Drosophila melanogaster: one gene and its partner. The protein of the gene in region 1 interacts with the protein of each later gene in a pairwise test. Each region holds a gene or a part of one and is shown in the gene's direction. Other genes may lie near its edges.

Evidence for each region. The genes of interacting proteins can lie anywhere in the genome.
Region 2: the proteins of CG5958 (region 1) and CG14102 interact in a two-hybrid assay, tested with the Drosophila melanogaster proteins (one large-scale study listed by BioGRID).

The regions. Positions count from the first base shown.
Region 1 is NT_033779.5:7,430,003-7,435,398, reverse strand, and holds CG5958 (uncharacterized protein), read left to right. Parts: upstream 1-1,882; 5' UTR 1,883-1,993; intron 1,994-2,187; 5' UTR 2,188-2,222; coding exon 2,223-2,462; intron 2,463-3,858; coding exon 3,859-4,320; intron 4,321-4,543; coding exon 4,544-4,726; 3' UTR 4,727-4,869; downstream 4,870-5,396.
Region 2 is NT_037436.4:19,798,466-19,803,068, reverse strand, and holds CG14102 (uncharacterized protein), read left to right. Parts: upstream 1-1,777; 5' UTR 1,778-1,832; coding exon 1,833-2,340; intron 2,341-2,542; coding exon 2,543-3,249; intron 3,250-3,309; coding exon 3,310-3,420; 3' UTR 3,421-3,443; coding exon of another isoform or gene 3,444-3,685; 3' UTR 3,686-3,736; coding exon of another isoform or gene 3,737-3,791; 3' UTR 3,792-4,094; downstream 4,095-4,603. Other genes in the region: Ir76a (ionotropic receptor 76a), read right to left, coding at 1-171, 229-733, 795-903, 955-1,078, 1,141-1,403, 1,461-1,623, 3,444-3,685, 3,737-3,791; SREBP (sterol regulatory element binding protein), read right to left, coding at 4,330-4,603.

The DNA.
Region 1 (5,396 bases):
AATATATATATTTATCTGCATTTTATATTCTTTACTTAATAATGCCCTGTCACTGTATAAAATTCAATATAAGCTATTTCCTTACAGCCGCAGAACTCGAGATAAGTTTGTTGATGGAATCTTTTCAATGTTTTTCGTGGGCAAATAAAAGTGTCAATCGAACCTGCACACTCCAAACAAGTATCTCAATCTTTTGAACGCATTTAAATGCTCATCAACAAAACGCAAAACAGAAGCTTAATAAACCAGCTGATGCAGCACCAATGGCAGTATCAATAACTTAGTAACAAATAAGTGAAAACAATAACAAATCGAAAACAAAGAAACAACAGCGAAAATAGTAGCGGGTTGAGCTTCGACAACAAATCGTATCAGAAGTGAAGACTTTGCCCTATGACTACACTATATGGCAGTTGTAGATACAGTGTTTTACCAAAACCACGAACTAGTCCCAGCATAAAGGTTTTCATTAAAATTGTATACATATTTTTTAACAATTTTGGTTTTGATTTAATTGATATATATTGTCATTTTAATATTATATAACAAAGAAATAAAAATATTTTCTTGTTCTCGAGCGTTCACTGTACTTGAATTTGTAAGAACACGTATGTATAAGTGGATATTACCAAAGGGGTTTTGTGTTTGGAACATGAATTTCAAAACAAAGACCCGATCACGTACCAATAATAACAATATGGAATGCAGCAACAAAAGCGGCTAACAATGATAACGGCTCGATATTCGCGATCAGCGAACCGATTCAATGGCCCGAAGGTGTGAAAAGACGAAGATCCAGCCCCCACCACCCACCACCACCTACCTACCTACCACCACCCGCCGTGGATTTGGCAATAAAAGCAATATTTCTCAGTAAAACAAACCGAAAGAGAAAGACTATCGGTGCTAGCAACGCTGCCAGTGATAAGGATTATGAGCTGTGATTAGAATGGTTGGGACTTCTTTTTCCATTAGAACATGAAACATTCGATAATAGCCCTGGAAGCAGAATATTTTTGGGGAGCTGTTATCACTCAAGAATTCCGCGTTGGACTTTAGTCGAAAGTAGTTTGCATACCCTGTAAAAAATAGTACCATTTAGGGTTAATATGGTTGATGTAGAGTCAGACATTCAACGTCTTAATAATATATCTTACAATATTTGAGTATTGATTAGTACTAAATAACTAAAAACCACCCGATATAATTTCAAGCCGGCATACAACATAAAAGGTTATATATTATATAGTTATCTTATATTCCAGCAGTTGAACTAGCTGTACTAGCTATAGGGTATCTCAAAGCAATATTATTCGCATTATCTTAATGCCTTACAGGTATTATGAGAGGCACTATAAAACAGTGCGCTGTTTCCGCTGTCAATAGGCTGGTTCAACCATTTTTTTTTTTTCGTTGCTAATTGATATTTATGCTTTTTTTGTACAAATTTGTCTTTTTTATTACGTGCCCCAGACGCTGAGTTTGCAAAGTGGAGTGTAGCAAGGGTAAGTTCGAGGTAAAGGTAATTTAAACTAAGGTTCATGACGCCGGGCGCGTGTAAACATCACGATCAATGACGAAATTACCCAAAATTTTAAACGGAGTCGAAAGTCGGATTTCAGGCCTAGAGGGTTCAATGCAGATGCCGGAGGGTTAAAGGCGTTAGGTGATTGACAGCCGGATTGGTGACCTTTTTTTCTGATTATTGTTGTTATTATATGTATTTCGCTCAGCGCCATTTGTCTAAAAGATAAGGAACGAAAATGGAAGTCGAGCCAAGACGACTGCGATCGCCTCTGCCACGGCGTGCTTTATCATCGACGTCGACGTCGAAGCTGTCGTTCGGCTGATATATAATATAGAAGTTAACTCACAAGGGTTTCCAAAGGCGAACCGAATTTCAGTTGACTCGAATCGCACGAGTCGCGAGGAAGCAAAACTAAAGAACGCTGAAAAACCCTCAATAAGTGAAAATCGTTTGACTTCGCCTTAGGTAAATACAAGTACAAAGAAAAGAAAAAAAAAAACCAACCAATTTCTAACCCAAATGATCGGGCAAGATTGTTTAAACAAATCGATCCGAAAGTGCTGGTGCCAAATTACCTCATATTAAGTTGCAATTTGCGCTGGCAATCAGTGGATTAGGAAAAACTAACACAGAACGCATTTCTCGAATCCAACACGCAGGCCCCGACACATAAAAACAAAAACCAAGCGACATAATGGCTGCCACCGATATCGCCGAGGAGGCCTTTCACTTGCGCCTGGGCTATCTGAAGCCGGAGACCGTGGAAATCGCCCGTGTGGAACTCCGCGAAACCGAAGAAGTCAAGGCGGAGGCCATCATCAAGCTACGGGAACTGCTCAAGGCCACGCCCGAGCTGAACTACAAGGATGACGACGCTTTCCTCACAGTTTTCCTGCGCGCCTGCCACTTTTATCCCGAAGGAGCTCTGGAAAAGGTGCGTACCATGAAAGCATATCGCGAGCCACTGATAATGCAATGTTAAGTCAGCAATGCAAGTGTCTCAGTTTCGTGTGCCCTTCACTTTTCATTTTAACTTCACCATTAATAAATATCATAAAATGTCATGTTTTGAATCATTTAACTTCCCTAATACATAATGCAATATAACCAAACGTTAAGTTCTTAATATATATAAATTACAAATTTAAAGTTATTTAAACATAGTCCAGAATCCAATGATGATAAAAAAAGGAACATAGTTTAAGGAATATCTAAATTGTTCCAGCAATATTCAATTCATAATACTAATAATCGCTTAACATTACACATCACTCTGAAAATCATCTGAAGCTTCAATCAAATCGCAAGCATACATAGTATATATATGTATATTATGAATTGACCGCCTTAGAAACACAATTCAATGGCTTTTTGCTTATCAACGCCGGCAACACAAGTGTCTCCGTCTATTTGTTTCAACATTTGAGGGATTATCAAATGTATAGAACTTCTCGAACACGCCTTATCGCCAGCAAACATCGGTCAACCAGAGCTATTGAAATGGGGTCTATAACCGAAGTTCAAACAAGTGCACTAGATAGTGGGGGAATAATATTGTATATGCATAAGAGCTACAAGAAAAGCATTTTTGCCCCAAGTTTAGAAAGTTGCATCAGCTTATAACCATGGCCTTATCTACATATCTCTTACATAATAATATATGATTAAGCGGTTGCATAAAAACTTGCCCAGAAAATGGCCACCTCATTTATAGTCTAGCTAAAGTAATATATGGGATATTGTAAAAGAAGCAACATACGATCTGAAATGAAACCCAACAACAGGATCATTTACAGTTCCCGTCTGCTGATAACTTATTGCTTCTGAACTCGCTGACCGGCAAAGAAAACCCTGATAAGCGTGGTCGATTTCGATCCGATTCGGATTCACTTTATGCATGTAGAGTGTTCAATGACTTTTTAGCAGAATGACTGAATCGGGTCATAAAAATCGAATGTTCGCCATTTTTAAATTTATCATCATAGGAAGCCGCATAACTTATATGGGCATTTTATAGTTCTGGCCAATGGTCAATACCTTATCAATTATGGACTCTAATCTAGCCATGTCACACCTGCCAACAGATGAAGTTACAATGACTAGTTCCGTAAGAAGTTAGCGTCATCGGTTCAAAGATTTATAGAGGCAATTCCTCTGTTTATAATGTGTACCCTATAAAAATATTAAAAATATAAAGTTTTCAATTAGCTACACGAGTAGCATAATAAGCTAAATTAAGTTGGTTGCCTAGACTAAAATTTTTTATCCTCACATAAAATACATAAATTTAAGTTTGCTAAGCTCTTGACTAATTTGAAAATGACTTTCAGATGAAAACCACAGCCAGCTTCCGCAAGGAGTACGCCTCTCTGGTCCGCGGACTCCTGGTCGAGCAGGTTAAGGAGAAATTCGTGAAGGGCAGTGTGATCAATGTGCTCAAGAACTGCGACCAGAAGGGTCGTCGTGTGCTCATCGTGAACTGTGGCAAACTCTGGGATCCCAGCGATATTACCAGCGATGAGATGTTCCGCATGCTCTACATGGTACATCTCGCCGCCCAGCTGGAGGAGGAGACCCAGGTGCGGGGCGTGGTCTGCATCATGGACTTCGAGGGACTGTCGATGAAACAGGTGAAGGCCCTGTCGCCGAGCTTCTCCAAGCGATTGCTCACATTCATCCAGGAGGCGATGCCCCTTCGCATGAAGGAGGTGCACTTCGTGAAGCAGCCGTTCATCTTCAACATGGTTTGGTCGCTCTTCAAGCCCTTCGTCAAACAAAAGCTGAACAATAGGGTAAGTAAAACGTGTACTTACTCCTACCTTGTCCTTCTGCCCTCAAAAGTAGGCTACAATTTCTCTTCATTGGAAGAATGAATCTTATCAGTAACGTAAAATACCTGATTCTTACAATTATAACCAAGTTATATAAACCATATTAATTAGACATAACTGATTTCCCCCTCCTTTTAAATGAATATTAATAACAATATATCATTGAATAATTTTCTTCCAACAGATGCACTTCCACGGCAGTGACATGAAGTCGTTGCAGAAGTTCCTCGACCCCTCCGTCCTGCCCGCCAACTACAAGGGTACTCTGCCCGCGATCGACTACGGTGGCGTCGAGTGGTTCCCCGCTCTGGAGCAGCAGGCCCAGTATGTGGAGGAGTGGAGCCAGCTTGGCCCTGCCCAGTGGTGATTGGCCCCATTTCAATACTACACTGACATTCGCATCCTACATTGACATTAGCTTAACTTTATGCTTGTAAATACTTTCAATATGTGTTTGCTTAGTTCGTAACATTTTGGCAATAAACTAGTTACATAATACTATAAACCACGGAAAAGCAATGTATATTATTTTTCGACTGGGTGTTGAGAGCATTAAATTTGAGCTGAATAGAGTTTTGTTACTCTAGCTACTGTCTAGAAAGCTTAAAAGTTGATATATGCAACACCCATCAGATAATGTTTTAAATTTGGAGGCATCGTGGTTTGAATTTAGGCTGAAACACACTATAATTAAAATAAAAGTCAATTTTATTTAAGAATTGGCTAGTTCATGTGAGTGTTTTGGGTTTATTTAACGCGTCTTTGGACTTTCAACTACTTCCATTTTCATACTCGATCATGATCAACATATGCGAACAAAGCATAAAAAACGTTTTGCATATCAAACGGAAATTTACAGCTCGGTGAGTGGGTTAATTCGAATATCATTCAAGTATTTTGTGTACTCTTCTACAATCATGGCAACGACGGTGACCATCAATAACTACATCAATAATTACACAATTTAATTTCTATATATATATATATATAGGCGACCGATGAGTTAAATCCAATTTAAAACTTTACATATGTGACAC
Region 2 (4,603 bases), on another chromosome or scaffold:
CACCATAAGTTTCAGCCGCTTTAGGGCATCGTTTTCTATTAGCTCGGTGTTGCCCAAATGACCAAACTGAAGGCGCTCGACGACAAATCCCATTTGCTCCGTGTGCGAGAAGGCGGATATTAAATTGGCATCGTAAACTCGGTAATGCTCCATTAAACCAAGAAGAACTGGCTGCATAAATAAGAATCTTAAAAAATGTACTAATAAATTTAATTTTGTAGGGCTTACGTCGGCCGATCGCTCGTCAATGGTGGTAATCCAGGCCTGTGAAGTCCCCGTCCAAATGAGCTTATGGTCGAAGAGACGTTGGCGAGAGTCCGCCGCTTCCTCTAAAGTGGGCAAAGTGAGGATGGCCGCCAGACCGCCACTGTACACAGTGGTCAATATAATGTCGATCATGTAGCTGGCCACTAGGACGGTTCTTAGAGCATACGAGCTGGTCACATAATTGGTGCTCTGATTTACGAAAAGTTTCAGCGTACTGATGCAACCGAAGCGCAGACTACTGATCCAGGAATTGCCTGCCGCAACCGACGAGTGTTCCCAGCGACGGGTTATACCAAGAGCTAAGCTCTCGAGCAGAAGGCAGAGCATCACGCACATCCAGAGGACAAACTGGAATGGTCGGAGCAGGAGCGTCCAGCTGATTAAACGGTTCGGAGCGGGCACCAGACAGGTTACTCCAGATCGTCCCAGAAAATGAGTCATGTCCATATACTCGTACGCCTCGTACCTAGAAAGCGATGGAATGGTTTACTTTTCAAAATGTTTGATTGATTAATCAAGAGTTTTACCACAAATACATGCCCCCTACTCCGTAATCGTTTCGTCTATCGAGGATCATTCCAACCAGACCATAGCCCGAGGCATTCAAGTAGATGTCACCCCAGTCGTATGGTTCAGCTGTGGATTGCCTTGACAATAAGCTTTAGTTGAATGTATTTAATTACCTACATGTGTCCACCTGAATGGTGCAGTTGTACAACTCGCAGAAAATGAGCATTAGTTGAATATCTGTTCCATCAATGGTTACATCCGTCGTGTTCATAAAACGATCATAATATAATGGTGGCTTTTCCTAACTCACATAACTGGAATTACTGCGATATATTCTGGTAGCGAAAACTTATTAAAACTCACATAATCCAATAGCATAAAAGGCTTGTAGTCGAAGATGCCTATGACTACCTCGCGTCCCTTGAGGTTTCGCATCTTGCTGGACATTGCACTCTGGGTTTCCCAAGTAGCTTTCGTACCCTTGGCATCGAAACGCTGGAGTATGTAAAACTCAACAGGCTCCGGGTTTTTGTTAAAGTTTCGCGGACCGACAAATCGGTTCGTTTTAATTTCAAAAGTGCTTGAGTTCAGGTATTGTGAAGTAATTACCAAGATGTTAGGTTGATCTAGCAATTCAAATGGTGAGCATGTGTAATTATTTCAATTCACTGCACTTATCCTACCTTGGAATATATAACCGGACAGATAACTATCTTTTTTGTCCTCAAACTCTTTAGTGTAAACGAACATAAAACGATTTCGCAGAGATCTCCAAATGGAGTAGATGCTGGCGTGATAAAAATATCTGGCGAATTCGGGAATCTGCTCCTGAAATGCTATGAAGGTCTTACATACAAAAGTAAAATAATTAAATTTATTAATTACAAATTTAAAAAAAAAAGGGAATAACCAAAAAGTCTTCAAACTTAAAATTTAACATCAGCTGCTCCGTTATGTTATCGATAGCAGATTTATTACGATATAAGCCGCATAAAAACGGGAAATATCGTATTATCAACTTGGAAACAGTTGAACTGCAAAATAGTTTCAGGACAATGGACAAACTGGGATTAGGCTGCCCCTTCTCCTTCCTGGTCGGAAGACCGCAGAGTATGAGTGGGGGACCCGGTTTCCTGGATCTCAACTACGACTGCTACCATCAGATATTTTCATATATAAATGTGCTGGAGGACCAGCTAAATCTGGGCCGGGCCCATCCACTATTCCAGGTTGTACTGACGGACATTTTGCGAACGCGCCACAAAAAAATCAATGTGCGGCTTCTGAAAACCATTCCGGACTGGGAGTTCCTGCTGCAGCTGTGCGGTTCCGAAGTGTCCAGGTGCGAAGTGCCCCATGGTAGCTGGGATGAGCCGTTTACCTACCCCTTTCTGGGGCTCCTGGGACGGCACTGCCCCAAACTGCGACAGGCAGTCATCATATTTATGCACGCCGTTACAGAGTCGCCGCCGAAAAGTGGGGACAGGGGCCACATCATGCAGCTCCTCCTGGAGCTACCCAGTCTAACCAATCTCACTCTGATCGATGCCAGATCTGCACAGCGTGAGTACGAAAACCACGAGCGCTTCATATTAATTGTTTCATACCACTCACACTTTTATCGTTTAACTCTGGTCAATATTTTAACTTGAAAAAGATATTGCTTAATCTAAAATTACTTTAGATTATTTTCCCTAAACTTCATTCGAGTCGGTGAATAGAATCCTTTTTATAAGCTTAATATATATCTGAATTACTATTGCAGTAGATCAATTGCGGCACTTCAGTAAACTGGAGGCCTTGGACTTGGATGGAATCGACCCAAACCTCAGCAACGCCTCCTTCCAACAAATGTTTGAAAGTATGGCTTCCCTGAAGCGACTGCTTCTCAATTTCGGACCGGATCGCAGGAGATCTCACCAGGTCCCGTTGTTGGCAGATAAGTTTCCCAACTTGGATCACCTTACTCTCGAAAACTTTGATATGAGCTTCCCGGAGTTGGGTGAATTTAAAGGTCTCCGATCCCTGCGCCTAATCTCACGTTGGACAGCAGAAGTGGACAACGACTTTTATAGGTCGGTGGCCAAAAGAGTTAGTAACCTCCAAAAGCTACAGCTCATATCCGTCCGCGTTAGAGGTGACCAAGTGCATCACATCCTGGCGATTAGGCAACTCAACGCTCTGGACTGTGATAACTGGCCAGCTCAATCGGTGTCCCAGTTGGGCCAGTTGAAAGATCTCGAGTGCCTGGCCCTGGATTGCATTGACTCACCTGCAAACCCAAGTCGCCAACTTATGTTGCTAGTACAAAATTGCTATAACCTAAATCATCTGAGATTGGGAAAACATTGGAAGATGCCTATCGAGGATGTAAATCAATTTTTGGACAATGTGGCTGATGCAGGAGCGGATCGGAAAGACCGGCTTTTGCTAACGCTCGATTTCATTAAGACACCGGATACTCGGAAAAAGGTATAATTTAATGGATACACAATTATTTGGAACAACCAAAATTTACCAAAAACCCTTCAGTTCACAGATAAGTTCAGGAATGATAAACACTTGCAAGTGAGTTTTGATGGAGCCACATGTCATCACTGTCAGCGGGATACCTACTCTAAGTGTGATACTATCTTTGACTAGTTTTACTTTAGCAAAAGACTCACCTCACAGTGCGACCTTTCGATGGCAACAGTCAGTCTAAGAGTCCAATCGTTGTAGGGGATTCCCTTCCCCTCGAACTCATCCTCCTTTATTTTGTAATCATAAACATCTTGATCGGAACGATTGGCCCATCTGTGCCAGTCCATGATTATTAATGGCATTGGATGAACCGTTTCCAGACGAAAATCAAACGCCGGGTGCCAAAAAATACAAGTGGCATGCGAGTCCGCGAAGAACTGCTGAGCTAACTATATTTTTTAAAAGGTTGTCCATGCTGAACAAAAGGACAACATACCAAAAAAACTAAGCACAGTGCTAAAGTAATATGACTCTACCAGCAAGTTTTCCATTTCACAGATTTTTTCCCTTGAAGTGTGCCTGAGGAATTTATATTATTTTCTGTGTGTATTATTATTATACATATACATTCTGTTTTTGTATATATATATATAGTGCTTGGTAGCTCACCCTGTGATGCACCCGACTAACAAAACTCCGCCGACGCAAAATGACCGACGCGAATGGAAGAATATTTCATTTTATATAAGGAAAAAGATTGCATACGCTACTAATACGTTTTCCATGAATTATGTACATATTTAACAAATTAGGAGCATGCACCGGTAACCAATAAAAGGCCTTGTAAATCTGTTAAAATATTTATTGTTATAAATACGTTTAACAAGTACGGTAAATAATAAACAAATAAAATGTCCATATTAAATAATTTTAAAATTACAATCTAAGCATAACCGGGCGTGGAAAACAGAGGAATAGCGTAATTATAAAGACCTAGGCATTTGTAATTCTTTTGAATAGCAAACGGGTATTCATTTGCTGAAAATCCACACCACGTTCGTGCCACTTATTATGTACTTCACTACTATCCTAAGCCTTCACGCTGCCAATGCCGTTGCCCAGCGACTTCATCAGCTGGTAGCACTCCTTGAGCTTTCGCTTGTCGCCCACCTTCTCCAGGGTCTTGGCCGCCTCGGCTAACATGCCAGCACGTTCACCCGGGGAGCTGAGCAGCGCAGGCGGGAGATACTTGCAGGCCACGTACATGGCCGAAGCCCGTTCCCGCTCTCCGCCCACGAAGTTCTGCTGCCGCCGATCCTTGCTGCCGCAGAAGATGGACGAGTGGGCGTTGCGTGATCGCAGA